Linked DNA regions of Nothobranchius furzeri. Each later gene encodes a partner of the first gene's protein in a complex. Links are inferred from orthologs where the notes say so. Each region holds a gene or a part of one and is shown in the gene's direction. Other genes may lie near its edges.

Evidence for each region.
Region 2: rrn3 (region 1) and polr1h share a complex: the UniProt entries of both Homo sapiens proteins name them as parts of the pol I pre-initiation complex. The link is inferred for Nothobranchius furzeri from reciprocal best matches to the Homo sapiens genes RRN3 and POLR1H.
Region 3: rrn3 (region 1) and polr2f share a complex: the UniProt entries of both Homo sapiens proteins name them as parts of the pol I pre-initiation complex. The link is inferred for Nothobranchius furzeri from reciprocal best matches to the Homo sapiens genes RRN3 and POLR2F.
Region 4: rrn3 (region 1) and polr1c share a complex: the UniProt entries of both Homo sapiens proteins name them as parts of the pol I pre-initiation complex. The link is inferred for Nothobranchius furzeri from reciprocal best matches to the Homo sapiens genes RRN3 and POLR1C.
Region 5: rrn3 (region 1) and ubtf share a complex: the UniProt entries of both Homo sapiens proteins name them as parts of the pol I pre-initiation complex. The link is inferred for Nothobranchius furzeri from reciprocal best matches to the Homo sapiens genes RRN3 and UBTF.
Region 6: rrn3 (region 1) and taf1b share a complex: the UniProt entries of both Homo sapiens proteins name them as parts of the pol I pre-initiation complex. The link is inferred for Nothobranchius furzeri from reciprocal best matches to the Homo sapiens genes RRN3 and TAF1B.
Region 7: rrn3 (region 1) and polr1b share a complex: the UniProt entries of both Homo sapiens proteins name them as parts of the pol I pre-initiation complex. The link is inferred for Nothobranchius furzeri from reciprocal best matches to the Homo sapiens genes RRN3 and POLR1B.

What each region holds. Positions count from the first base shown.
Region 1 is NC_091758.1:12,122,314-12,126,600, reverse strand, and holds the start of rrn3 (RNA polymerase I-specific transcription initiation factor RRN3), read left to right. Parts: upstream 1-1,346; 5' UTR 1,347-1,481; coding exon 1,482-1,622; intron 1,623-1,973; coding exon 1,974-2,030; intron 2,031-2,098; coding exon 2,099-2,188; intron 2,189-4,287. UniProt on the Homo sapiens protein: Required for efficient transcription initiation by RNA polymerase I (Pol I). Required for the formation of the competent pre-initiation complex (PIC).
Region 2 is NC_091751.1:25,535,300-25,539,757, forward strand, and holds the start of polr1h (DNA-directed RNA polymerase I subunit RPA12), read left to right. Parts: upstream 1-1,653; 5' UTR 1,654-1,757; intron 1,758-2,327; 5' UTR 2,328-2,350; coding exon 2,351-2,468; intron 2,469-4,458. UniProt on the Homo sapiens protein: Core component of RNA polymerase I (Pol I), a DNA-dependent RNA polymerase which synthesizes ribosomal RNA precursors using the four ribonucleoside triphosphates as substrates. Can mediate Pol I proofreading of the nascent RNA transcript.
Region 3 is NC_091752.1:66,414,046-66,418,113, reverse strand, and holds polr2f (DNA-directed RNA polymerases I, II, and III subunit RPABC2), read left to right. Parts: upstream 1-1,493; 5' UTR 1,494-1,629; coding exon 1,630-1,649; intron 1,650-1,905; coding exon 1,906-1,975; intron 1,976-2,063; coding exon 2,064-2,194; intron 2,195-2,992; coding exon 2,993-3,064; intron 3,065-3,158; coding exon 3,159-3,249; 3' UTR 3,250-3,518; downstream 3,519-4,068. UniProt on the Homo sapiens protein: DNA-dependent RNA polymerase catalyzes the transcription of DNA into RNA using the four ribonucleoside triphosphates as substrates.
Region 4 is NC_091752.1:59,335,107-59,338,814, forward strand, and holds part of polr1c (DNA-directed RNA polymerases I and III subunit RPAC1), read left to right. Parts: intron 1-1,205; coding exon 1,206-1,338; intron 1,339-3,708. UniProt on the Homo sapiens protein: DNA-dependent RNA polymerase catalyzes the transcription of DNA into RNA using the four ribonucleoside triphosphates as substrates.
Region 5 is NC_091745.1:10,210,167-10,214,552, forward strand, and holds the start of ubtf (nucleolar transcription factor 1), read left to right. Parts: upstream 1-1,576; 5' UTR 1,577-1,714; intron 1,715-2,209; exon of another isoform or gene 2,210-2,366; intron 2,367-3,848; 5' UTR 3,849-3,870; coding exon 3,871-3,907; intron 3,908-4,078; coding exon 4,079-4,251; intron 4,252-4,386. UniProt on the Homo sapiens protein: Recognizes the ribosomal RNA gene promoter and activates transcription mediated by RNA polymerase I (Pol I) through cooperative interactions with the transcription factor SL1/TIF-IB complex.
Region 6 is NC_091742.1:16,192,673-16,196,966, forward strand, and holds the start of taf1b (TATA box-binding protein-associated factor RNA polymerase I subunit B), read left to right. Parts: upstream 1-1,386; 5' UTR 1,387-1,518; coding exon 1,519-1,536; intron 1,537-2,788; coding exon 2,789-2,887; intron 2,888-3,836; coding exon 3,837-3,924; intron 3,925-4,115; coding exon 4,116-4,213; intron 4,214-4,287; coding exon 4,288-4,294. UniProt on the Homo sapiens protein: Component of RNA polymerase I core factor complex that acts as a GTF2B/TFIIB-like factor and plays a key role in multiple steps during transcription initiation such as pre-initiation complex (PIC) assembly and postpolymerase recruitment events in polymerase I (Pol I) transcription.
Region 7 is NC_091752.1:7,761,764-7,765,457, forward strand, and holds part of polr1b (DNA-directed RNA polymerase I subunit RPA2), read left to right. Parts: coding exon 1-40; intron 41-118; coding exon 119-342; intron 343-421; coding exon 422-593; intron 594-1,307; coding exon 1,308-1,479; intron 1,480-1,570; coding exon 1,571-1,852; intron 1,853-1,928; coding exon 1,929-2,062; intron 2,063-2,975; coding exon 2,976-3,146; intron 3,147-3,230; coding exon 3,231-3,387; intron 3,388-3,461; coding exon 3,462-3,658; intron 3,659-3,694. UniProt on the Homo sapiens protein: Catalytic core component of RNA polymerase I (Pol I), a DNA-dependent RNA polymerase which synthesizes ribosomal RNA precursors using the four ribonucleoside triphosphates as substrates.

The sequences.
Region 1 (4,287 bases):
ATTTGACCAACGGATTATGAAAGAGCAGATAAAGCCAGAAACTTGCTGATTCTTCCTGATGTAAGAAGTGAGTCTATTATTTGTTTTGGTAGTTTTGGCATTTACGTGATCCAAGAACACAATGTTCTGTGACGCAGCAAAAAACTGTAAAATGCTCAAAAACACTGGCAGTCCGGGGCTTTTCTATTCAGAAAACGGCCGGCAATGAATGAGTTAAGGGGGGGGGGGGGGGGGGGGGCATGGCCCCTGGACTCTGACTAGAGCACTTCCGCCCCTGGATTCCTTGGTAGTTCTGCTGTTGTGTTTGGGTCATGGATCTGTTTGATGATCTGGTTCAGTTCAAGCTTCAGCTGGCAGACAGATTGACTCTGAGACTCGGTGGTCACTGAAGGAGTTTCTGATTAACTCGATTACTGTTTCTTTTTATTTCCGACGTTCTCAGTCCAAACAGGTACACCAAAGTTTGTCTGAAGGGATGCAGCCTGTGGATTTCATCCGTTCATTTCATCACGACGTAAAGCAGCAAAATAAAATCGGATGCATTTACCCTCTCAGGCTCAAAAATAAGTTTTGATAAAAGGACGAACAACTAAGTCCTTCAGGGGTTCTGAGTTAAAACATGCTCATGAAATACATGTGTGGGGTAACCAGGTAGGTAGGTTTTAACGTTGCACATCTGCAACGCCGACCTCTAGAGGGTTAAATCAACCCAGTCAAGCCCTGTAAAAGAGTGTAGCCAGTCCCACCCAACATGGGTATCAGGTTGTGACCTTTGAACTTAGTTGAGAGAGACCACTGGTTTTTCTCCAGGATGCAGAACAACATTGATCTGAAGTGTTTATTTTTCTTTTCACCTATTTATTTTAGCAAAAAGTAGAATACTTTTTTTTCCCCTTAAAATGTGCTTGAGGTAATATGTTTTTCTAAATGACACACTAGTCTGGTAGAGAAACAAAACAAAGTACAATAAAGATATAAAGTTTCAGAGGCACAGTAGATGTGATGATCACAGTTTGCTATGTGAAAAAATCCACAGTTTTAGTTAATTATGCTCAACACTTCAAAGAAATTGATGAACTGTGAAAAAAATAATTCTCAGGTGCTTAAATTTAACATTTGTTTTCCCTGATGAACACATTATATATTTTGAATTAGCAATCTTGTAGCACACAGGTGGTAAATTCTTACAGAAACTATATTTAGCTAATATTACATTCAGGGTGAAACACAGTTATTTATCGTAAAATAATGCTTTTCTGTTTACTGTAAAAAAAAAAAAAAAAAGTGGGTCTCGCGCACCGCGGGAAGAGTTTTAATGTGACACCTCATCACTCTGTTCCGGAAACACGTGATTTCTTCCGCCTGCGCTCACAGCAGCTTGCCTTTGCTTTTCACTAGTGTTTTGGGGTCTTGTATTGATATTGTTCCCCGTCTTTATTCCGGTGAAATGAGAGAATACGTTAACGTATACGTTTAGTTTGATGATAGCCACGTTAGCTCGTGGAAACCAGCGCGTGGCCGGAACCATGGATGCAGACGGTAGGGACTTCCTCAACTCTCCTCCGGCCAAGACGGTCCGGTTTGGGGGGTGCGTAGCGGAGACTCTGGAGAAAGCCAGACACGTGAGTGCTGTAGCTGGTCCAGTCCAGGGCATGGTAAAGACAACAGCTAGACTTCTCTGGCTTAACATGATCTCGGCCAAGTTTAAACTGATAGATGTTAAAGATAAAAAAGCAACATGTTTAATTGGGACCCAAGGTGCCTCGAGGGTTAAAAGACGAGGAATGAGTTTTAACTTTAAACCAAAAACATGAATGTTTCAAATACAGGTGGAAGGTGAAATATCCTGGGTGGTTGTGCTGTGGCAGAATCATTTTACTTTAGTTTGATACGATTGTTAGCAGCAGGAGCAGCTCCTTTCACCTTCCTCTAAGAGCCCTGTGTCCTGATGAGGCGCTTGTCTGTTTTTGAAGGGGGACACAAATGACTACGAGCTGCTGAAGCATCAGCTGGTGGATCCTGAAATCAAGGTAAAACCTCTGAGGCTGATCTTGGGTCGGTGTGAAGGTGCGAATAATGGTCATGTCTCTCTGGACAGGATGCTCAGCTCATCAGCTGGCTGCAGGAGTTTCGGAGCTGTGTGACTCAGTTGACAAAGGACCATGAGCAGCTGGTTTACACGATTCTGGTGAGAGGACAGCTTCACTGATGAGGAGAGCTCAAACCTTCATTTGATCAGATTAGATGGTTCATTTCCCTTAGATTATCTGATTGAAAACAGAACTTAGTTCAGTGATTTCTGTAATTATAGGGAACAATTGTTAGCTGTTTGCAATGTCAGCTGGCTCCTATTCATGAGGAGGAGGAGGTGGATCTAGTCCTTCCTCCTAAGCCGGGCGTACACTGTGTGACTTTTTCACTCGTAGCACTCAGCTTCAGCTCACACTGTACGACTTCCTCGCAGGGCAGATCTCACGAGTCAGGTGCTCACACTGCACGACCCAGTTCTCGCATGCGACCTGACTGCTCACACTGTACGTCTGGTAGCAACATGTCGGACCTAAAAATGTGCTAAAAATAGCAGTTTTTACTCAACACGTCAGACTTTTTTGTTTTGTTTTGCCTGTTGTCCTTCGGGAGTGCTGCAGGAGGACACACAGGGATTTATGGGGGTTGGATGAGGAAAACAAAATAAAGAAAGTAAATCTGTGTTTTGTGATCAGTTTAATTTGACATGAACACGACAAACACGCTTTCTTGACAATCTTTGTGAGTAAAAAACGTGTAGAAACAAAAATGAGCAGCGTGTGTTATTAGGGAAATAGCGGACGAGCAGTGTTGATGCAGGATTGCGCCGTGAGCGGTTCTGATACTTTTTGGGTCGCAGCCGCTCGCAGCGCCGCTTCAACAGTGCGATACCCTCACGAGGAACGAGCGAAATATTAAACACGCCAGAAGTTTGTGCGACCTCACGATTGCTGATCGGTAGCTGGTCACGTGGTGTTACTCGCCTCTCGTAACCCCTGTACACTACACGACGCTCAGCGCACACTGTGCGACTTTTTCACTTTTTTGAGCCGATTTTCCAGTCGTGCGAGAATCCACAAGATCGGGGCGAGTTTTGCGCCGAGCGGTCGTGTAGTGTACAGGGGGTTACGAGAGGCGAGTAACACCACGTGACCAGCCGCCGATCAGCAGTCGTGAGGTCGCAGGGACTTCTGGCGTGTTTAATATTTCGCTCGTCCCTCGTGAGGGTATCGCACTGTTGAAGCGGCGCTGCGAGCAGCTGCGACCCAAAAAGTATCAGAACCGCTCACGGCGCATGCGCGCGCAATCCTGCATCAACGCCGGCCGGTCGCTCGCTATTTCCCTAATAACACGCTGCTCATTTTTGTTTCTACACGTTTTTTTACTCACAAAGATTGTCAAGAAAGCGTGTTTGTCGTGTTCATGTCAAATTAAACTGATCACAAAACACAGATTTACTTTCTTTATTTCGTTTTCCTCATCCAACCCCCATAAATCCCTGTGTGTCCTCCTGCAGCACTACCGAAGGACAACAGGCAAAACAAGACAAAAAAGTCTGACGTGTTGAGTAAAAACTGCTATTTTTAGCACATTTTTAGGGCCGACGTGTTGCTACCAGACGTACAGTGTGAGCAGTCAGGTCGCATGCGAGAACTGGGTCGTGCAGTGTGAGCACACGACTGTGAGATCTGCTCTGTGAGGAAGTCGTACAGTTTGAGCTGAAGCTGAACGCTGCGAGTGAAAAAGTCGCACAGTGTACGCCCGGCTTTAAGGCTGCAGAGGAAAGTCAGCTCAGCTACTTGTGTTCAAGGACCCCCCCCCCCCCCCCCCCCCCACACACAGGGGCTCTCCTTGGGGTCAGCAGCCCCCGGGGGGCTGGGAAACCCACACACTGGTTGCGTTGGTACAGCTAACGGTGTTTCTGAAGAGCACCCAACTTTTTGACCATTTTACATCAAAGATTTGCAGGTTCATTGTTTTTAAATCGCACACAAACAAAAAATGGCCTTTCATAGAAGTAAAGTAGATTTGTAAAGGATTAGCTAACAATATAAAACAGCCGAGTAGCCACGTGCCCCTCAGATGTCCAAATGCTGTAGGCCCTTCTAGATCTACACAGATCAACAGTTATGTCATAAAGTTTTTAGTTTTTGTTATATTTAGATTTTTTTTTAAAAGGTTAATGCTGCAATGAGACTGTAGTCACCCGGTAAAGGGTCATTTTAGCATCCTCTGGCTCCAGGGCTAGGGTTAAAGGGG
Region 2 (4,458 bases), on another chromosome or scaffold:
TTAACCCAAAAGTTCAGTAGATACTTTTTTTTTAAAATAACATCTGGCAAATTTTTCAAGGACATTTGGAATGGCCTACAAGCAAGATGCCTACCGAGAGTAACGGTTTTATTTACATTTGGTCATTCCCTTATTTTTTTTTTTTTTTAGAAGTAACATAATTCCAATCTGACTCACAAATCTCAGAGCTGGATCATGGAGATGAGGGTGAGGTTTGTTTGCTTCAAGGTAAGAGCCAAAAACTGCCATCGCTCATGATGTCATGTCATAAAACTTTGGGGTAGCATCATCCTGTCTATACTTGTGTGAAAGCAAAGAGTTGGTTGGTAACACAATCTAAGGGTGGATCTGTTAGTCAGGAAGCACTGATGACTTCGAGTAAGTGTTCTGCAGGCAGGACTGGGATGATTTAAATCCAGAAATTTGTCACTGAGGCATGTGAGACATGATGGTAGAATTGATATGTTGTTAATAAAGTTGCTAAAACATTTTAATCTTCATGATAACATTTTGCAACACGACCTTCAGTCACAAAGCTTTATTCTAATGCTCCACTTTTTGTAATCTTTTTCTGGGATGTCTTGAAAACAACAAAGGAAGATGAAACAACCTTCTGTGATCCATCCACGTCTGCTGGTGAAGTTCCGTTTCCTCCCTGACACATTATATGGCAGGAATTGATGGACCATTTAATTACTGAATGTGTGATGTCTACATCATCAAAGAAAGATTAATACTTGCATTAGGGCTTATTGTTTGTCATTCTTTTACTGTGTTCAAATTATGAATTGTATTTTTGATTTTCATTAACATTTAAAAGGAGTCCACAAATAATATAATATGGAAACAATTCATTAAAATAAAACACCTATGGAAAAGTCAGACATCCGTTCAAATTTTCTACATACATGCACCAAACAAATGAATGATCATAGGTTTCAGCCTGATAAGAAAACACAGCATCACTGTCTCAGCTGGTCGGTTCCAGTTTCACTCCAATGTGAACTAAACTAAATCAGAAAATTTCAAAATTTGTGATTTTAAGAACATTTGGTTTGTGTGACATCTGTAACCACCGATGTGTAGATTATTCTAGTGGCCTTTTTTTTCTTCTTCTTTTTTTTTTTTTTTTGTAAAATAGATAAAAATAAACAGTTATGAGCAGTACTGTTTTTGACATGGGCGACCTGGGTAATGGCCCAGGATGGCATCATGAGAGGGGTGGCAAAATGGGTACGAAAAAAAAACTTATTTTGGGAGCGCAGTGCCTGAACATTATGCTGGTGTGTGTAACTTTTGGAAACATTTGTTCTGCTGCGTGCTGCAGAGGGAGGAGGACAGGTCTGCTGAAGCGGCTTGAGTGAAGCAGCATCTAAAAGTAAAGTGTGTTCGCCCAGGGCACCGAACAGGCTAGGACCACCCCTGGTCATTGTTGCCCCAAATCTCTGCACAGTAATTATGAGTTTAGTGTTGTTTATTATTTCCACGTATGCTTTACTTTGGTATTGAAATGCTTCTGGAGATGCTATATGATATTTCCACCTTATTTTATTGTTTGACACCATTTAATGGTATTTGCGAATTAATTTAATTATTCCCAAATAACATTTTGGTCATTAACTCATGTCACGTAAACAAGCGTGCGACACTAGCACGTCCTGCGTCATCAGCCTGCGACAATAACGTGATAGGACCATATACATAGCTGTGGATAGGACCCTAGGACCTCTACTGCAAACAAGTGACCGGTGAAAGAGGTTTGTAACGTTTTATACTGACTTAATAAATGATGACAGTAGCGCTGTTTTGAACTAAATGTGTAAAGAATAGCCGAATACTAATATAAACATGTAAAAGGTTTCCAAGTAGCTCCACGTGCTCAATGTGCTGCTGCTACTACTGCTAATAATAACAATAACATTCACTCGTTAGATTTCATCACACAGCCAGGAGGTCTTTTAAAGTGTTAATTTATAAAGTGCTAAGTCTTCATAACGGAAGTTACGGTGTAACTATGGTTCTGTGAGTTCCTGGATGACTGCCAGTCACAGGGGTCACTCGGAACTTCTCGGGCGAGAAGATCCCGGGAGACCCGAACGTAGCTATCGGCGCGTAATTTATAGACTCGCGACCAGGTGCGCTACGTGTCACGTGCGTGACTTTGTTTACATTAGTACTCGACCTGCGCAGAGCGCGAGGAGATACATCCACTCTGTTTACTGCCACTGGCAGTCAGGAGGGAACGAAACAGAACCCATGTGAACCGAACGGGAAACCAGTGGTTCATGGTTTTGATTGTTGTTTTCAACGTGTCTGTGTTTCTCAAGAGTCAGCAGCCCGGTTCGACGGGATGTCTTATTTTAGTGGTGACCCGAACTTCTGTCCTGAATGCGGGAACGTTCTTCCGGTACCAGTAACCTCCAACACTGTCCTGTGTCCTCGCTGCTCCTTCTGCATTCCTGTTTCAGGTAACGTGTCCCAGAGCCGTTTCTAGCTTTGTGAGGGCCTGATTCAAGAGGCTGTTTGGGAACCCGGGTGGAGGTGGTGATGATTCCTCAAAGTACCACAAGTGTAGTAAAAAGAAAAAAAAATCACTTCACAGTAAATGTATTTAACGTGATAGTGATGCACCGATATGAAATTTTTGGGCTAAAACAAATATACAATATTAATATCACCGTTATGGCCGAAAACCGATACCGATATACCGACATTAATGCTTCTAAAATCAGCAGATTTTGTGTAGGGCTTGTGATCACACGTGATTACGCATAGCATTCTGCAAACTGTGAAATAAACGGTACTGTCGCAGAGTAGAAGCAGATTTGGGTGAAAGAAAGTGTTAAATCACATAAAATCCCAACAAGGATGTGGAATATACAGGGACATGTTATATAAAGACGTCGGGGACCGGTATGTGGACAAAATCATCATTATAAATGGTTTTGATCCACATAAAAGACCCAAGACTGGAGCACTGGTGACATATTGTTGCAGCTGCAGTTCTGCATAACAGACTTTTTCGGCTATCTTGTTTAACGTCCAGATGAGAGGTAAACGTTTAATTTGTTGGTTTTTCTAGTAAAACAATCAAAATTGTCATCCCTCAGAAGAAGTGTAGCGAGAAAAGTTATGTTGTGTATCATTAGCTTACCGGTAGGTGAGTGTAGCCTCTGTGTACGTGTGTGTTTCGTGTGCATGTTGCGGTTGAGGGAAAGAAACGATGTATAAAAACGTACACCATCTGTAATTTACCAGAATGAAAATAATTTGGAAGGTGATGTTTGGTCGCCTTACAGCTGCGATCCAAGTGAGCTAACAAGACTTTATGCTAGATACTTGGTCTCTGTCGTTTTGCCACTAAACAGGAAAACTGTGGAAAGTTAGCTTGTTTTTCACCTTAATTCCACTGGCGATCACGTGTGTCACATGAATTAATAATACATAAAAAGTATCAGCTGTTGTGCTACAGCTACTATTTACCGTCTATGTGGTAGATTACTGTAAATACAGGCATGAACATGTAAGCACACAAACAAATACATATATCAGGTGCATCCTGCATGGAGTAGTGACCGTAGCGTTTAAGTGGCTGGCTGACTAATGACGTCATAATGTGTTATAAATCCCATCTACTGGTGGAATCGGTGGTCTACGGGAGTGCTCCTTCCTGCAGCGGGGGTATATCAGTTTCTGACTGAATGAGCTGCTCAGGTTGATGTGTGTTGTTCATGATGGATGTTAGCTTAGCTAGCATCCTCCTCTCGCCCACCACCGATTCCAGGGGGCATCCCAGTACAGAGCTAGTCCTCTGCACCAGTTTGCCAATTCTGTTCTGGTCCCTGTCTGTACATCCGCTTCCCCAACAGGCCACTGCATAGAAAAGGGCAGATGCAACCGACAAATCATAAAAAGTCCTTCACAGAGTTCTGCATACTCTGAAGGACCTCAGTTTCTCAGCAGGTGGAGTCAACTGCATTTGAGATGGGCAGATGAAGGACAGTCCTTGTGGTAACTCTGGGAGAGCTTAGTCTGACTGATTGTTGCCTTTCTCCTTTATTGTTTTTTCATTAAAAACAATACGCATCCAAGAAGAAGAAGAAGAAAAGATCTCTTCTATAGCGCCTCTCAAGATAAAAATCACGAGGCGCTTCACAAAAACAAAAAATGTAAAAATATAAAAAAGAATTTAGAAAATGATTAAAAATATATTTAAAATGAGCAAAAGATAGACAATTGTGATTAAAAATGTAAATAAAGAGAGAGATTGAATAGGAAAGAGGGAAATCCAACACAATTATCTTGAATTTTAGAAACACACACACTTAAAAAATACATATTTCAATCAGGGATTACAATTATTATTTTTTTTTTCAAAATTTATCGTTTTAGCTTTTTAGAACAGTTTAATTTGCTTGTTGCTGTCATAACAAAAACACCTACAAAAACTATTCACAT
Region 3 (4,068 bases), on another chromosome or scaffold:
ACTCGCTCCCATCTGGCAGAAGGCTCAGATCCATTCGGACCAGAACCTCTCGCCACAAAAACAGTTTCTTCCCCTCTGCAGTTGGACTTTCCAACGAAAATCCTACGGCAGCCCACTCAAGTCGGTTGGTCCCAGTCACGTGATCCGATGCTGTGCTTGAAAAACAGATTAGTACCTGCACGGGGTAGATCGCTGCTTCTCTAATTCTTGCCACTTTTTACATTAATAATTTTATCATGAGTGTTTTATTACTTCCTATATTTGCGTATCTCTTAAATTTTTCTTTCTATCTTACCTTCTGCACCAAATACCGCAGCAATTTCCTAATGTTGTGACTTGGCACACATATGGCAATAAAACCTTCTGATTCTGATTCTAAAAAGCTGGTCCTTTGTATGTATGTATTTATTTATTTATTTATTTATTTATTTATTTATTTCACTTTGGTGGAAACCGGCCCTGTTAAATGAGGGAAATTGCAGTGTACCACAGTGACCATCAGGTGGCAGCCTTGTGGTGTGTCACCTTTTAAAATAGGCGCGTCATGAATGTTTGGGTGACGTTCTGACAGACACGTTAGCTCTACGTGAGATGATTTATGTTGTTTGTGCAGATAATAAGCTTAAGACCACGTTCGTTAGCCATGACATACAACCAAATAGAGGGCCAAAAGTACATAAAAAATTTATATCATTAATTGAATGTGTCATTAGTTGGTTGAAATATGAAATAATTATGTATATATGATTTTAATGAATGTGCTATAAATAAAAACATTTATTTGATGTAAAAATTACAGATAATCATTAAACTGTACAATTTTAGTAATTATTACATGGCGGAGCTGGCAGTGAAGTCGAAATGGTCCTCTCTCCAGGATCTCAGTCAGGTCCACCGGTAGAACCCCATGGAAATCCCTGGCCAGTAGACATGATGATTCCTCCAACATGTCCTGGATCGAGCTGGGGGCCTCCTACAGGCAAGACATGCCTGGAACACTTCTCCTGGGAAGCGACCGGAAGAATTCTCATTAATTCATCGCTGGATTCAGCCCCAGTCTTCTCTAGTCAATAAACAGGCCTTGGATTTGGAGGAGTCGGTGTGCATTTTAGGATTTAAAACAAAATAATTAAAAATTTTCATCCATGGCCCATTTAACAATTTATGTATGTAATGATTTATTCGTGAAATAATTTGGCATTAATTTGATTAATTGCACATATAAATAATATTTTTTTACGTGTCAAATTCCTTAAATCTTTAGCACTTGATTATAACAATTCATTAAAGAAAGTGAGGAGAGAGAGAGAATGGGGATTATTCAGCCTTTATTTAACCTACAGTTGGTAGAATTTACAGATCAAACTAAATGGAAAATGACTTAACTCCAGAAGGTGGCAGTGTTGCAACGGTAAACCTTGTTGATGCTTCTGAAACATCAAAAAAAAAAAAAAAAAAAAAAAAAGACAGACCGGAAAGGGAACTCTAACGAGGTTCTTTTGGCCGACCGGAATGTTTAGTAGCGTACCAGCCAGTGCAACGTTCATGTGGATTCGTGTTGGTTACAAAAGTGTAGCCTAGAAACGTTAAAATATTTTACACGGATATATACTACTCTAAAAATTTATCATGTCGGACAACGAAGACAAGTAAGTAAAGAAATCGTTTAAATAATCTGCGTCATTTTGTATAATCGACGTAAGCTAACGGGGATGCTAACTCGATTAGCATCACACGGTATTGTTTATTATGATCCTTGCCTATTCTGTGTATTGCTGCTTACGTCCTGTTTTATTCAGTCTCCCATCCAAGTTTACGTACTTTTGTACTTTTTCAATAAAGCTTGTTAAAAGTTATGAATCACCTAAAGTTTAAGATATCTGATCAAAGGTTTTAACTCCGTAGCTTCGATGATGGAGATTTTGATTATGCAGAGGAGGACGAAGGACTAGACGACCTGGAGAACGTCGAAGATGTGAGTTATTACAGAGACGGATCACCACTTGAGACTTTTATGAAGCTGTCTCCTGGTCTGAGCTTGTTTGTTTTGCTCTGGTGAATAGGAGGATCAGGAGAATGTGCAGATCCTACCTGCAGGAGAAGGCCAGCAGGCCAACCAGAAGAGGATCACCACACCGTATATGACGAAATACGAGCGGGCCAGAGTGCTAGGGACCAGAGCCTTGCAGATAGCGTGAGTGTGTTTACATGAGATCACGGTTAAAGCTGAGTGTGTTTGATCTTTAACTCGTTAAACACATTTTCACTGAGAGTAGGTTTCCTCCCTAAACTTAGTATTTAGAGATGTTCAGTGAAATTAGCTGGGCTCATTTCGGGATTTATGTCAGTAAAAGTTTCGTTTTTCCAAAAGACATTTAACCCTCCCATTGTCCTGATGGGTGTGACCCCGCGAGGAAAGTTGACCATTGAGCAGGGATGATGGTTTATCCCTTGGGTCCATGTGGCAGGGGTGAGAAGTGAGCACCACCTCACCCCTGCCATGTAGACATCAAGGGATAAACCATCCATCCTGCTCAGTGGTCAACTTTCCTGGCGGGGTCACCCATGAAGACAGTGGGAGGGTTAAGTAAAAACTTAAATATGCTAAATAGCGCATTAACACCTAGTATCAACAGAAGGTTATTTAGGTAAATCAGTAAAATCAACTCCTGATTCTGTTTTTGTCTTGAGTTTGGGCTCTCTGAATTCCCACCAGCAGAAATTCCTGGAAACAGGCGGCTGCTTGTGTAAATGCCTCATCTGCTTTCAAAATAAAAGCATGCCAAAGCCCATTTTAAAGCTAAAAGTAGCGTTTGAATCTACATGCAGAATTATTTGTATTTAATTTCCAATGCTGGCTGGATGGCTGCAACTAATGAGTCACTTTTTTCCCAGCTTTAGAGAAATTAGCCCACTATAAACCCCATATTCCCATGTTGCATCAGTCTGCCTGAATAAAAGTGTTTTTCCTGTGCTGGCTTGATTCCAACAGGATGTGTGCTCCTGTCATGGTGGAGCTGGAGGGAGAGACTGACCCTCTGCAGATCGCTATGAAAGAACTTAAGTAAGTCACTTTGACAAGCACCAACTTTTGGCTTTGGTTTTATTTAACGAACAACTTTTTACTTCACTCATCTTTTCTTCTCTTTCTCCAAAAGGGGCAGAAAGATCCCCATCATCATCCGCAGGTACCTTCCTGATGGGAGTTACGAGGACTGGGGCTGTGATGAGCTCATCATAACTGATTAAACATCCTAACCAGCATCACACATCATCATCTCTGGACTTTTAGAGACTCACTAACTTTTACAGAGTTGTACGTTTGCCTGCTGGGATCCGTTTATGAATATGTTGTTTTAATTTCTTTTCACCATTTTAACATCTACTTGAGGAGGAGAGACGAGAACCTTTAGTTAAATACTTTTTATGCATCCGTGAGGAGTCTAAACGGCTTGTTTTGTTTTTCGGAAGAGACGGTGTAAATGAATGTTTTATTGTTAATAAAGTCATTTCTAGAAGCTGCTGTGATGGATTTATGTACAAATCTCTGGTTTAAAACAGAAATGTGTTGCTGCGGTTGTTTCATTTAGAAAATTAAATGTCACCCCTTCTTTCCACAGGAGCCGTCAGCAGCGCGTCATAGCTGCTGATAGGAACCGCTGTGGTCAACAGAACCTTTTCCACCGGAGCCGTCAGCAGCGCGAGTCGGCCGCTTCTCAGGAGCAGCATGTCGCGGCCTTTACGCGCCGGTTCTATTTTCTACACGCGACGCCTCTGAAACGGGTCAAGTTCGACATTTTTGGGGAAGGAAAGACAGGAAATCGGACGCGGAAATGGAGAGAAGCTCCCGAGATTTTCAGAATAAAGAACGTACTGCCTTCCGGTTGCTTTACTTTTAAAAAAAGTTACTAACTGTGCGGCCCCGTGAGAAGTTATCACCTAGCTAGCGGTCTCCTTTGTTTTTCAGGTCCGTATTGGCGATTCTAAAATGGACAGAACATAAAACACAAACCTTTTGGAGCCATGTTGTAATTTTCTCCTGCTTGTTGTGTTTACTGACGAAGTCAC
Region 4 (3,708 bases), on another chromosome or scaffold:
ATCATCTTTTTCGTGTCCACACTCTGGTGCTGGTGCACACCTTGTGGTGGAATAAGAACTGGATATATATATATATGGTGTCCCACAAGGTTCTGTGCTGGGGCCTCTGCTCTTCCTCCTCTATCTGCTTCCTCTTCAGCACATCCTGAGCTTCTTCAAAGGAATCTCCTACCATCTTTATGCAGGTGACATCCAACTGTACATCTCCTTTAAGCCCCATGAGATGTCTCAGCTGCAGCTGTTACACACCTGCTTAGACTCTATCAAAACCTGGATGGCTGGGAGCTTTCTACAGCTGAATGAAGATAAGACTGAGATCCTCATCTGTGCCCCAGACAAGCTGGTTCTCAAAGTCAGGGGCTCTCTTGGTCAGCTTGCATCTCACACCAAACCTTCTGTCAGGGATCTTTGTGTGACCTTTGACCCAGCTCTCAGCCTGGATTCTCATGTCAGTTCTCTTGTTCGCTCTAACTTCTTCAATCTCAGGAACATCGCTAAGCTGAGTTCCATTCTGTCCCGTTCTGAACTTGAGGCTTCTCCACAACTTCATCTCCTCACGCTTAGTTTACTGCAACTCTCTTTTCACGTGTCTGAGCAGAACTTCCCTGAACCGTTTACAGGTGGTTCAGAAGCTTAGAGACGGAGCAACATGTCGCTAGCATAGCGGCTAATCGCTAGCATAGCAGTTTTACCAGTTATATTGATATAAAGATATAAAGTCATCTTGTATCTTGTTTAAAAATTATATAGATATTTTAAAAATATCAATTTATTGCCCAGCCCTAATATATATATGTATGCGCACCCATCCATCCCCCCCCCCCCCCCCCCAACAGCCAATGCACAGCACCAAAAACGTTACACCCCACCCCCCGTGAACCACGGCTGGAAAATTTTCTAGGGGAAACACTGATAACAATTTTCTTAGCCAGTGTGCAGACCCATTCAAATCTCTGGTGATGACGGAGTTTCTGCTGGGTCAGGTCCATTATTTATGTCTCTTTCTAATGTTCACATTATGGGATTCATAGTAGCAGTGAATTAAGGCTGGACTCATTCTCAGGAGAAAGAATCCAACATTTTTATAGCTGGACTCAACATTTTCTCCCTGATGCGATTAGGCAGTTAGACCTTTATAGGCAAAAATGTCTCATTGTATGTTTTTTGTTAATCTTTTTTATGCTTTGCTTTTATTTTGCCTGCAGGTGCCCACAATGGCTGTTGAGAAGGTGTTCATCTATAACAATACATCAATTGTCCAGGATGAAGTCCTTGCTCACAGATTAGGCCTGATTCCCATTAAAGCAGATCCTCGTCTGTTCGAGTTCAAGAATGCAGGTACAACAGTCAAATGCGCTCCCTCAGCTGCTTCTTACCCAATGCTGGGTAGGGAAGTGCCCATGGTTTTTACTACGCCCAATAATAACCTGTATTACATGACGAGCGGTGACGCCGTCATCTTGGATCGGTCCCCCCCTCCTTTCTGACAGAGGCATTGAAGTGTCAGCATGTTTAATCAACCATAACTCCTTCGATAGTAAGCTGATTTTGAAACATTTTTATTTTCTTTGCAAACTTCGCACATGCAGCTCTGATACAGGACACATGTTTTAGCATAGTGGGTTTGCTTGGGTACATATGTGACTCTTGTTCAGAACTTAGGTGTGGAACTTAGGCTGAGCGGGTGTTCCAGTAATCGGAAGGTTGCAGGTTCGATACCGGCTCCGGACAGATAATTCTGCTGTTGTGTCCTTGGGCAAGACACACCTTGCCCTCTGGTGGTGGTCAGAGGGACCGGTGGCAGCCTTGCCTCCGTCAGTGCGCCCCAGAGCAGCTGTGGCTACATTGTAGCTCATCACCATCAGTGTGCGATTGAGTGTGTGAATGGATGAATCTGTAGTGTAAAGCGCTTTGGAGTCCTTACTCTGAGAGGTGCTATAAGATAAGATAAGATAAGATAAGATGACCTTTATTAGTCCCACAAGTGGGAAATTTGTTTCGTTTACAGCCAAGCAAAGTAAAAGTAAAAGTTATGCTGCAGAGGGAGAAAAACATTAAAATACAATAAGACCGACCGCAATGAGATAAAATAAACTCAATACAATAGACAGTTTATACCTTAAGAATGGGTTAAAAAATAATAAATAATAACCATACTAGATACAGCTAGAAATACAGAGTACACTTCATCCAACAGCTTTGTTGTAGAGTCTGACAGCAGTAGGGAGGAAAGACCTACGGAATCTCTCTGTCCCACACCTTGGGTGCCGCAGTCTCCCACTAAAGGAGCTGCTCATGGCTGTCAAAGTCACCTGCATCAAGTGTGGGTCATTCATCATTTATCATTTAGTTTCAAAATAAGGATCAGTCACTAAAAATCAAACAATGAGAGTCAAAATAATTAAAGTATCATACAAAATGTGTGTGAGATCTATGGCAGGTATTTTTAAAAATATGAAAGAGAAGCAGAAAGCACTACTCAGCCATTTTAATTAACAATTTAAAGTATATATTACTTGTCGATAAAAACTGAAATAAATGGGTGTTTGTGTAACTCATTTACAAATAGTGTCAATATCATTCAAAGAGGTGCGAGAGAATAAGAATCAGAAGGGTTTTATTGCCACATGTGTGAGAATAGCATTAGGAAATTGCTGCGGTTCGTGGTGCAAGAAAAATAAATGATAAGCAAAAATTAGAATAAAGAAACAAAACCAATTAATTCATAATAATACAGGGAGACAATAATTAAGAATGCATACTTTTCCATAGTCACTTCATTTTTAAGCCCTTTTATGGATATTTTAGAGATGAGATTTCAACCATGATGAACTGCTCTCAGACGCGGGGTTTTCCTGCCGCCTTTAAAGGGGCGCTGGTCAGACCCCTGTTGAAGAAGAGAAACTTCAGACCGATATCTGACTTACCATTTGTAAGGAACATTTTTTGAAAAGCTTGTTTTAATTCAGCCTGGTGATTTTGTTAATGCACATCATGTCTTGAGAAATTTCAGTCTGGTTTTAGAGTAAAGCACAGCACCGAGACGGCCCTTTTAAGAGTTTTAAATGGTCTAAGAATAAATTATGATGCACAGAAAGTAACTGTTCTGGTTCTACTGGATTTAAATGCTGCCTTTGATACAGTGGACCACAATATTCTTTATATAAAACACAATATTAAAACACATCGGCCTGTCTGGTGCTGTCCATAAATGGTTTACTTCTTATCTCACACAGGAGTTTTGTGCTAAGTTTAGACCTTTTTATTATAGCTTTTAGCTGAGTTTAATCTATTTTAGCCTGTTTAACCATCTTTTATATATTTTATCAGTGTTTTATTACTTTCTCTTTTACTTAAATTACTTATATTTTCATATTATTTTTAACTTGTTTTAACCTGTATTCATTATTTGCATTTCATTATGTTTATATACTTAATTGTTGCTTTCTACTTGGTTATTTTTTATCAGTGTGTTTTAATTAGACTTTTATTTATCTGGTGTTAATGCTTAATTTGGTTTTTAATTTGTTATCTTAATCTTAATCTCAAATCAACCACTTCCCTGGGAGAGGCAGTCGGCTGTGGCTGCCAGGGTGCTTCTCGTGCCTCCTCTTGGTGCCCGAGCTGCTGCTGCCGGTGCAGTTGGCTCCTTTTCCGTTTCTTTGTTGCCTATTGCATCTGTACTCAGCCAGTTGTCCTTTCACTTTT
Region 5 (4,386 bases), on another chromosome or scaffold:
CCTGTTAAGAATGTGTGTATAAATATGTTTTGTTCATATATATCAGATTTTAGTGTGTAAATGCTTTCATGGTGATAATCATGCAACAAGCAAAAATAAGAGGCCTAGAATAAAATAATTGTCTGAGGAGACTGTTGCATCAGGGAACATTTTCCTTTTGTTTTGCCTCAAACTTTGTGTGTTTGAACCACTGTACATGCTTTGGATTTCCCTTAACTAAAAAAAAAACAACTTTAAAACGATTTTTTTTTCCATAAATGCTATGTTTACATATTTTTCATGCTTTAAGCCAAAGTTCTAGGCTGCTTTCAAGGTGATCACGTAAATCCCAGTACTATAAAGTTTTTATTCAAAACTAGTGGATGGCGACTTGTTTGCCAAGAGTCTTAATGAGATAAATTATAGTAGGATTGTTCCTCAGAGAGAAATGTGTTCGTTATTCTTATATTATGTTTAAAATACTATTTAAAACATAAACGTTCTAAAAACATGATACGCAAGCATAATATTCTACATGGGAAAATTACTATTTTAGCTGCCTTTTTATCCTGCTAATAGGTTAAATAGTTGGTTTTATTTTTAAGTCTAGTATTGTCTAGTTTTATTCAGCCATATTCATGATTTCAATCTTCATCAAAGGCAAAACAAAAAAGTAATTAACAATTACACGTTAAATTCGATTTAATACTTTGTAACCACATACAGGAAACATGATATAAATTACTGTGAAAGATAAATACGAACAGGATAATTGAAATTTAAGGTAAACAAAAAAGATAACACAATTGAATTCTTCAAACTATATTATATAATTTTAATTGTAATTGTAGAAGTTTATTTAAACAGTGACAGTGCACAACTTGACATTAACCACAAAAGAAAGATGCAATGTACCAGGTTATAGTGGGGATGCTAATTTCCACCTGTAGTGCCTGGGAAGGTTGATATTAAAATCACTAAACTAAAACAAAAGACGACTGTTTTTGTCCAGTTAGCTAAATTCCTGACACTAATCCAATAATACTTTATTCCTACTGTAAGTGAACATAGCACAGTTTAACAAGACTGAGTGCCTGAAAGTCTTTGTTTTCCTTCAATCGGACGGACTGGATTGGACGGCCGGGGGTTCCGCCCACAAACACACAAGGTGGAGTTGAAAAAATAACATGCTGGGCTAAAATGAAGCTGTCAAACAGCCAGTTACGTTTGAGTCAAAGAGGTTTGGTGCCGGGGGAACGGCACGGACACCGGAAATAAGAGTTAGGAGAATAATCAGACACTGATTGGTGTCAATTATAAACTTTAAAGATGTGTGCGTTCAATGAAAAAAAGTTCACTGGTGGCGTTTAAATTAGGTAACCAGTAAAGCGATTTTTCTTTCAAGTGTAGGCAGACGAAATGTTAGAGATGCAAACTTCAGTGGGAGACGTGAAAGTCGGGCTCGATGAGAAACAATAAACTCTGCTGGCTGAGCTCAGAAAATCAGCGGCGTTAACACTGGGGAACATGGGGATGTGTCGGTGTAGCGGAAATGGTTGGATGGAGAGAAGAGAGCTGCTGCACGTTGACTGGAGGGAGACAGCGAGAGAGATGGAGGCGGGGGGAAGGACCATCTCTGCGGGGACTGGAGCCCAGGACCGACGGCGCAGTGCTGGCTATCGTTCAACCCTCCCCTTCTTCATCCACAGCGACGCGGAGGCTCGCGCCGAGACAGGTAAGCAGCACGAAAGTCGGTCGGTTTCATAACCACACGTGGAAAGAGCGCGATAAACAAACCAGAAAAGCGGTTAAAAGTCGAAAAATAGACATTCTGTTTTTAATGTTGTCTACCAAAGCTCCTTAGGCGGCAGGATCTTTGTGGTAACGAAACAAACTCCCCGCTGGAAGGGCGCAGACGAGGTCGGCCTTACCCGAATTTCTCTGCCCAAACAGCGGGGAAGAAGCTGGATGTAAGACCCAGTGGTATGATGTCTACTATAAATTACACCCAGTGAATTCATGAAGCGAATTAGTTTCACGTAGCATCGGGATTTAGCTAAGCAATCGTTTGTTTCGCGTGGGGAAATGTTTTCCGGTAGTTTCCGCGCCGAGACCTCCACGCGGCTGTTGGCGGAACAGCTAGCCGCCTCTCGGTCAGCCATCAGGGATCTCGGTTTAATATCTCACCGTGAGGAGACTCGCCCTCCCCTCTCCCCCTCTCTCTCTCACTGACTAGCCCAGAACCACCGACAACCGAGCTCGGAGAACCCGCCTTTCCGTCCTCGCTTATGCGCTTTTTGGAGCTAGGGAAGGGAGTCTGCAACGCCCCGGCTAGAGCTTTCGGCTCCGTTTTCAGTGTTCGCAGTACGCCATTGGACCTTGTCACGGTAGGTTTGCTTACAAGAGCGGGGCTGGTAGCATGGCGGACCTGGAGCCGTTTTGTCGCGCCAGAGAAGCTGCTCAGCCGCGGATTGTTCTTTAGATATCCGATAATGAAAGAGCCGATTAAAGCCCACATTTTCCTCGAAACGGAGAATAACTAACACTAACATGAAGTAATTCAAAATTAGGTCAATAATGTTGTTTCACCGTACATATATTTTTTATTTTAATTATGTTTCGCGCCTCCGCAAATAATTTAACCTAACATTTATTAATTTTCGATCTGGTGTAACTTAATTTAGAATATTTTGGAGCATTTTGTATGGTTGTCAAATAATTCATGTTAATTATACGTTGTAAACACAAGTTAATGTGATCCCTAAATCGTCCTTGTGTGACACAAATTTTGATTAGTAGCAAATACTGTTGACTAACTGTGCTACCTTAGATGCTGGTATGATTTTAGGCTTCTTTTCGACATGCTAAGTTACACGGCGTCTTATGTTTTTTTTTCCACATTTATGTAGTATTTTTGACTAAACGTCATAAATCCGACGTTTGAATTTGACATTCTGCGCATTTTACATAAGAAATATGTCGAAAGTAGTGTTAGAAACGACGCGAGGAGACACGGTTGAGCTATCAAGGACAAGATGAACAACGGTCATCCGCCATCATTGGAGCACAGCTCGGCTACGCCTCGCTGAAGAATGCTCTGGCTTTTTGGTCCAAAAAACAACTGCGTGATACCACAAAGCGAACAAAATGTTGAGTGAATTATTCTAAAACGCACACATAAACCCCCTCACGCGTAGAATGCTAGTTTAGTCGTTCTTGTTTTGGGTAAACATTAGTGGAGAAGACTTTAGGGCTGCGTGGCGGAGCTAGATCCACGTCCAACGGTGATGAGGCGTCTCCGCCGAGTGGCGCATTTGGCTGCAGTGCTTCCAAGCTGCCATTCCAGGCTGTCGGAGACCGAAAGCAGATCCCCCGTCCGTGGTCAGCTGGTCGCCTACAGCTGCCTGTCTGTCCACGTTCATTCGCTTCCTCCTTCCGTGGATCCTCCCCAACCTCCGCTCCGACAGAAAGTCCTCCATTACCGAGCAGACCGAGCGAGAAAATGGTCGCTCCTGAGCGTCCACGATACTTCTGTTGTAGAATAAGGACAGCACTAATTCGCCAAATTCCGGTTGGCCCAAAAATAAAAAATAAAAAAAAATAAAAAAGAAGCTCGACAGGGACTCCTGTTGTCGTCGCTAGATATGCTTAGTTGAAGCCCTCCGCAGTGTTATTTGAGATTTGAAGCCGTCACAAGCAATAGCCTATGCCTCACCATGCAGCGTAAACGTTTAGGGGCGGTGTAATGAACATAAACCATTATGTCGGCACACATTTCAACTCAAACGACTTACAACAGAGATCAGTTATAATAAAGTTAGAAAATATGAATTTTAGTGATTTTGATTAATTTATTGTTTCTTTTGTAGTTCAAAAATCGCATTTTCACAAATGAATGGAGAAATGGAGGCAGCGACACATGACCAAGGTAGTATATTTATGAGTCATTTTTATTTATATATATTTTTTTAACAAATGACAAATACTTGTATAATCACGAAATTGTTTTAATGAATTCCACATTTTGTCATCATACTATAAACATAATGCAACCATACTAATAAATCCATGAACCAGTTTACATGTATTTTTTTATCAGTGTGGTCGCAGGATGACCTCCTAAAGCTGCTGGAGGCCATGAAAGTGGCTCTGCCACAGAAAGATCTGACTAAATACAAAACATCCGAGTCCCATCTGGACTGGCAGAAGGTGGCCTTCAACTCCTACACTGCAGAGATGTGTAAACAGAAATGGCAAGAGGTCTCTAAAGAGGTGAGATGCTCAGATCATGATTTTTAGGTCGTAAACCTTTTCAGATGTAATATTTAGATTAAGTTCTTAAAGAGGTCCTCCAATGAGAAACAAGTTTGTCTTATTTTTGGAAATGATCTGTTACATTACGTTTAA
Region 6 (4,294 bases), on another chromosome or scaffold:
CTCAATGCAAGTACCTTTGTTAAACAGTTAAATTGGTTTAATGGTCAACGGTGCTAAGGACGTTGATATCCGGAAGGTGCAATTCAATTGTATTTTTATATTTATTTCTATTTTTATTATTATATAATATTTTCTGACGTTCTGTAACCTCTGTCGGTGTTGCGCTGCTTTTTTTGGAAACTGAATTTCCCGAAGGAATTCACCCGAGGGATTAATAAAGTTTTTTATTATTATTATTATTATTATTATTATTATTATTATTATTGTTCCCTCCTCTCCATGATTCATCATGCTGCCTCGCTGCTACCTACAACTGACTGGAAATTGTTTGTTGTTGTTATTGTTGTTGTTAGCATCAAGGGCAACATGCCAATTATCACTTGTAAGTCGCTTTGGACAAAAGCGTCTGCTAAATACATAAACATAATTTGGATTTGAATCTGAATGAAATAACTGACACGTGCACCAGGATAAAATCAAATTAGTCCAAATGAAAGCCATTGGACCAAATACATTAATTTAAAAGAAAGTCTAACTGTGAAAATAGTTTATTATTGCCAATTTGAGTTACCTACTTGTTTTTCACAATTAGAAGCCTGAGCTTTGGTGAAACATGTGAAATTATATAAAATATATATTTAACTCAAAATAATAGCTACATTAAACATAAATACATAATATGTAAGCAACTATCTTGTAACAGTTTATTTGATATTTTCTTGGTACACAGCAAATGAATAATTTCTTAAATTCTTTGTTTTGTTTTAGTGTTTGCTTTTATTTTGAAAGTGCGCCTCAGCTTGTTGTGCGTGTTGTCGCGCGCTCGACGGGCTCGTGAGTAGAACGCGTGTGTGCTCTCTGAGCTCGTGAAAGATGAACCCAGCAGTTGGGTCGTGAATTTTAGCGATTGTACAAGAAACATAAGCTCCTAACTTCCAGAACCACAACAGAAAGACACAAAAATAAAGTTTCTTCTGAAAAGCGACTCGATTCGTGACGTAACATAAGAGAAAGACGGAAACATCTGGCGAGTCTTTTTATAATCTCTGATCTCATCCAAATCCAAATCCGCTTTTAAACGAGAGGCCAAAGTCTGTAAAACACCACCAGCAAACATGACGGCCGAACCGAACATCAGATATGACAAAAATACAATAAAATACAGCAGAACTCTACATAAAATACCTTTTGAATAACTTTGTGAAAAATCTAAATGAGCTTTCAATAGTTTTAATTGGAACGTTGTAAAACATTTTCTTCCGGATGTACTTGACACGTAATTGATGAATGTTGAATTACACAGACAGCAAAAGCGAGTTATAACCATAGTTGGCGGTTGTAGTTCACATTGCAACCTGTTGGTGGCAGTATAGAAACCTTGCAGTCGCTAAAATCAACCGATGAAGATGAAGCGGTTCCAGCTACAAATACGCTTCTCTCATTTTAGCTTGAGAGCTAAAAGGAAAACCTAATGAATAAATTAAACACATAATGACCAGACTTTAGTTTTAAATCACGATGGATGAAGACGCTACGGTAAACACATTTAAGCATTTTTTATTTGTAAATATGTCGCGTACATTTAATTAAGGGGGAATGTTGATGTTAGCTAGCTGGTTGAGGCACACACAACCCTATTAACAACACGCCTTCTTTCATTATTATTAAATACGAAGTCCGAAAGAAATCATTTAACAACTTGGTCGGAATCTACAGCGGTCGGTTTAGTAATCGGCATAGATTTAGTAACGTTACCAACACGATCAACGTAGTTATTCAATCGTTCATGTAGAGGTTAGTAGTTTTGGCTAGCATTCCACCTAATTAGAGCTGTGAAGAAAAAAGAAAGAAAACGATCTTTTATGTAGCGCCTGTCAAGATAAAAATCACGTGGAGCTTAAAAAAAGTATAAAAAGGATTTAAAATATGTTTAAAATGAGAAAAAGTGGGAAACCAGTGGATCACATGAAAGGCGGAATAAGAGCAGAACACGGAGAGGGAGGTGATGAAGGTCCCACTAAAGCCTGCACAGGTGAGTTTAAAGGAGACCACGTAGTCCACTGACCTCAGGCTCGGGGGAGAGAGGTCCAAAGTCTGGGGGCCACAGCAGCAAATAATCTGTCACCTTTAGCCTGGTGCTGCACAACCAGTAGGCTTTGGTCACTGAACCTCAGGGACCTGCTGGGGGTGTAGGGACTAAGAAGATCACCAATGTAAGATGGTGCTTGTCCATGTAAGGCCCTATAGACCAGAACCAGGATCTTGAAATGAACCCTGAAATTGACTGGCAGCCAGTGAAGCTGGAGGAGAAGCGGGGTGATGTGGGTGTGTTTGGAGGACTTGGTCAGAAGCCGAGCACAGGCTTTCTGAACCAGGTGGAGCAGAAGCTGCTAATAGTTAAGCTTTTATTTGTGTTTATTATTTATTGAGTATTTAAACCCGTTTTGATGCACCAACATCCTGCTGTGGTCAAGAAAGTAAGATTTAACATTTTACTCTTTCTTTCTGTTTCATTTAATTTATCTAATTTTTCTTCAAAAGCTAATTTTTGTCTAACTCACTGAAGGTTCTCATTTTTCAAGTTTCTTACAAACATTTTTCTTATTATGCATCAGATTTTAGATTTAATTTATTACTTTTTATTTGCTTTTTTATTCAAAGTTTGTTGTGAATCTACTTGTGTGAGTTGTGAGAATATTAATAATATTAGTAATAATTTTTAGGTTTTTGTCAAAAGCTCAGGTGAGTTTGAGTTGCTCTCTTCACCCGTACCTGTGTTCCTGTCCAGGCTGGCTACAGGGAGCCCTGCGCTCAGTGTGCAGCGGTGAACTGGGGCATCTCAGAAGAAGGTCGTTTCTACTGCATGTCCTGCCACAACGTCATAGAGGTAAACAACAACAACAACTTACAAGTGATGTAGGTGTGTTTGGAGGACTTGGTCAGAAGCGGCGCACAGGCATTCTGAACCACCTGCAGACGGTTCAGGGAGGTTCTGCTCAGACACGTGAAAAAAGAGTTACAGTAGTCTAAACGTGAGGAGATGAAGGTGTGGATAACTGTCTCAAGTTCAGAGCAGGACAGAATGGGACTCAGCTTAGCAATGTTCCTGAGATGGAAGAAGGAAGAGCGAACAAGAGAACTTACATGAGAATCAATGAGTATGTTACCATGGTAACACTTCCTCAGATGTCTTAAAACTCTGAAAGTTAGAAGCTTCTAAATTCTCATATTGTGGTTTCTGAACATGTGTCTGCATGGACGTTATTAATGTGGGTTTAAGCTTTCCGTTAGCTTTAGCCATGCTAGCTTGCACTTCTGAGAGGCTGGAGCATTTAGTGTTAGACTGCTAGATAATAATAATAATTATAATAATAATAAGCACAGTGAAGGAAACTCCTGAGTTCACATTTTAAAGAGACAGTTGGTACCTTGCTGCAGCTGTTTACTGCTGATAATAATAATAGATTAGATTTATAAAGAGCTTTTGGGCTCTCTGCTGGTGATGGAAAACTCAAACGTAGCCATGCTGCCCTGGGGTTGTCTGAGAGGTGAGGTTGTCATTTTGCACTCCCTCTGATTACTGGACAGCAGGCTCTACTGATCTTAAGGTCCTCATCAGCTTGAATGATAAATGCTCTAGACTTTCTGACTGATTTCCTGTTTCCTCTGCCTCCCAAGTCCAACGCTTTTACGTACAATTGAGCCTGTCAGCGTCATTGCCATGGAACGTGGTTAAAACGGGTTTTTGGCAGCTGTAGTGCCTGTGGCTGTCAGCAGGAGGCGCTGTTTTATCTGAGGCCTCCCCTGATGGTTTTTATACATGTTCCTGTGCTCAGAGGACCATAGAGGTGGTGGACCTGAGCGTCGCTGGAAGCTCCAACAGATTAAAATCTATCGCCAAAGGACCCAGAACCAGTAAAGAAGGTGGGTGTGTCCTCTGAGGTGGTTTCAGCTGGAATAACCACACACACACATACACCACACACACACATACACCACACACACACAACTTTATTTTACAAACACAGACCTTTCTGGTCTCTAAAGCCGTCCCCAGATGTTTTCTAGCTGCAGGGGAACTTCAGTTTAGTTTCTGACAGGTTGATGTTCCTCAGAGCGCGGCTACACCTGGCTGGTCTGTGAGGGGTTCCAGTTCATCCTGAAGAACCAGGCTGACGCTCTGCTCCGGCTGGGAGTCGATCCGAACTTTAAGGTCCTTTTATTCTCAAGCGGATGTGGATGCTCCGGCGCCGGCCGATCCCGTCTGATCCGTCTGATCCATTTCAGGAGGTTT
Region 7 (3,694 bases), on another chromosome or scaffold:
GAAGGAGCTCTTCTTCCTCCCTTTAGGTTTTGCTCTGAAGGTATCAGTTTACGAGCTTTGAAGCGTGACCTGGTGTCGTTCTGTGTTAGTTCACCGTGTTTTCTCTGGTGCTCTTCAGGCCCTGGTGGATTTCACAGACTTCCAGATCCACCAGGAGCTGATCAAAGGCCGCGAGGACAATTCTTTCTACAAGACCTGCGTGTCAGAGATGCTGCGTATGGTGATGGAGGAGGGCTGCACCACCCGCAGCAGTGTGCTCAGTTACCTGGGAGAGCGCTTCAGGGTCAAGCTGAACCTACCTGAGTGGTACACCAACGAGCAGTGTGCCAACGTCCTCCTAAAGTAAGCCCTAGCGGTTACACTGATTTAAACTGAAGCTTTCCGCAGCGACACATCAGTGTGTGTTTGTCGTCTTGTGCAGCGAATGCATTTGCATCCACCTGAAATCGGACACAGAGAAGTTCTACCTGCTTTGTCTAATGACCCGGAAGCTTTTCTCGTACGCCAAGCAGGAGTGCATGGAAGAAAACCCCGACAGCATCGTGACTCAAGAAGTGCTCACGGCTGGTCAGCTGTACCTCATGTTCCTGAAGGCAGGTGCTCTTTTTTGGGGCCTTCTTGGGTTTTGCACCGTGGGAATGATGGGGCGCGTGTGGCAGGAAGACTTGATCTCAGTATCTATAGAATTGACTGAGTTGTAGCCAGTTTTGTGTTTTAGGAGGTCAGATGTGCTGTGATGGTTCCATTCATTCAGTCGGACTACAAGTAATGAAGGATTCCTTGTGTGGGATCTAGGTTTGGGTCAAAACATAAGAAGTTATTTTCATGACATGAAAGCATCTTTGCAGCGGATAACGCTAACGTGGGTCATGCAGCACAGGTGTGTTCCAGCTGTGAAGGCAAACATGGCCGGAGTCTCACAGGATTCACTCATATCAGCAAGTAGGGAAAGATTTATGGGAGCTTCTGAGGTATTTTGGTCGCCGCAGGCTCCCGTGCCTGGTTACACGGGGGTTTCAGCCCATCTCACCACACGTACGACGATGTGTGACCGCTTAGACGGAAGCAAAGTCCACGTTTGTACGTGTGTATCGATACTGGGCCATCCTGTCCTTTTATATCAGATTTTATAAAAACTTGAGATGTTGTTCAGTTCTAGATGAACATAAGAAGGATTTCTGACAGTTTTGTTGAACTCTATCAAACGAACGTCATCAGTAAATCAGGATTATCAGTGAACTGTTGTAGAATCCTAACGATAACGCGCCGCTGATCGTTTTCGTTGGGACTCTGAACCGTGTGAACAGGAGCGGCTGACTGCCTGGTTGGTCTCTGTCAAACTGTCCTTCGACAAAAGAGGATCCAAGCTGTCTGGAGCCTGGACGACTGAGTCTGTGATGAAGATGTTGAACATGGGCTCAGACCTGACGAAGCCTTTTGAGTATTTGCTGGCCACTGGAAACCTTCACTCCAAGACTGGTAGGAACGCCGGATCTCAGTACGAGTTCATGCTGTGGTGTTAAACAAACAAACAGTAAAGCTGCATAAAGGACATCTTGTGTTTCCATAGGTCTTGGAATGCTGCAGAACACGGGCCTCTGTGTTGTAGCCGACAAACTCAACTTCATCCGTTACCTGTCCCATTTCCGCTGCGTGCACCGAGGAGCGGCGTTCGCCAAGATGAGGACCACCTCTGTTCGGAAGCTGCTCCCAGAGTCCTGGGGATTCCTGTGTCCCGTCCACACTCCGGATGGAGAGCCGTGTGGGCTCATGAACCACATGACCGCCAGCTGTGAAATAGTTGCACCCTCCATGTTCACCACGTCGCTGCCGGCTCTGTTTTGTTCCCTCGGTGAGCATCGGGTCAGACAGAAGGCCTGCGATGACCTTCCATGGAGTTAAAACGTTTCTGCTGTTCCTGCTGTCAGGTGTGACTCCTGTGGATGGAACTCCTGGGCACGCCTACTCCGACTGTTACCCCGTGGTCCTGGACGGAGCTCTTGTGGGCTGGGTGGAGAGCGATTTGGCTCCAGCTGTTGTCGAGTCACTGCGCAGGTTTAAGGTAGGAAACAGTTTTGACTCGTGTAGACGATAGTCTCAAGTTCTGGCCTGAAACGGGACATTTGAGTTTAAAGCATCCAGACGAGGTTCAACCACAGCTTTCCACTGCGTGAGCAGCGTGTAATGTCACTGGTGCCTTTTCTCTACCTCAGTGGCATGGAGTTATCTACCGGGGGGCGCTGCGTATGCATTCCACACAGCGACATCACAAAGTCCCATGAAAATAGCAAGATCACACGTGATTTCACCTGTTCACACAGTAACAAGACAAGATGGCAGCATGTATCCAAAAGGTCTCCTCCGCCAAGGAGGTTATGTTATTGCTGGTGTGTATTTAAGCTTAGGAAAGCGGACATCTGTGAGCGTTATAGTTTGATGGTTTCCAGATGCTTTTATTTCCTGTTCTGGCCCGCTCTGATTGGCTGAGCTTGAAGTGCTCTGGGAGCGCAGCGCCGTTATGATTTTGGGACGTGTCTGGTACGTGCCACTACCTGCAGGGTTTCCCCCAGAAAACGAGTTTAGCCTGGCGGATTCGGCCGCCGGGGGTCGCGCCGCATCGCAGCGCTCCTCTGTGAGAGCGGGGGTGGGGGGGTTGCACACGTTCCGCTGCTGTTTCTCACCAGTAACAGCTGATGGAGGGCTCTAGTTTCGCTGCGCCGTTCGTGTCAGTGGACACGGTAGGGGGAGGGGGGTGGGGCATGACGCTTAGCCTGGCGGGCCGCCAGGCTTATAAAGCGCTGGGGGAAACCCAGCATTTAGCCTGTTAGCTGTAACAGCAGTCGTTAGCTTTGTGTTTGCAGATGTTATGCAAGGTTAAGTTTAATGATGGGATGGAGGTACAAACAAACGCTGGATCCAGTGTTTGGCCCGCTACTTGAACGCTGAATCATCAGATGTCTTAATTTGATTTCTAGGTGCTGAGGGAAAAGAAAATTCCTCCCTGGATGGAGATCGTCCTTGTTCCTAAAACGGGCAAAGCCAGCTTATATCCTGGCCTGTTCCTGTTCACAACGCCGTGTCGGATGATGCGTCCCGTACAGAATTTAGCTCTCGGCATGCAGGAGCTGATCGGGACCTTTGAACAGGTTTTTTGGGCGGTGGGATTTTCAGATTTTTGGCTGCGTTGGGAGAATGAAAACAGGAAAAACTGAAAGTTTGGTCTTTTGCAGCTTTACATCAATGTGGGGATTTTGGAGGGCGAGGTTGAAGCGGGTGTCACCACACACCAGGAGCTGTTCCCCCACAGCATGCTCAGTGTGGTGGCCAACTTCATCCCCTACTCTGACCACAACCAGAGTCCCAGAAACATGTACCAGTGTCAGATGGGTGAGTCCCGGCTCCCTGCTCTCTGGTACGTAACTTGTGAAGCAGTGTGGTTGTTGAGTTATTTTTCCCACCAGGTAAGCAGACTATGGGTTTTCCTCTACACTCGTTCACGGACCGATCCGATAATAAGCTGTACCGGCTCCAGACCCCACAGAGCGCGCTGGTCAGGCCCTACATGTACGACCATTACAGCTTGGACAACTACCCTAGTGGCACCAACGCCATCGTGGCCGTCATATCGTACTCGGGCTACGACATGGAAGACGCCATGGTGAATATGAGGTGATTATTTGGAAGCCTCTGTTTG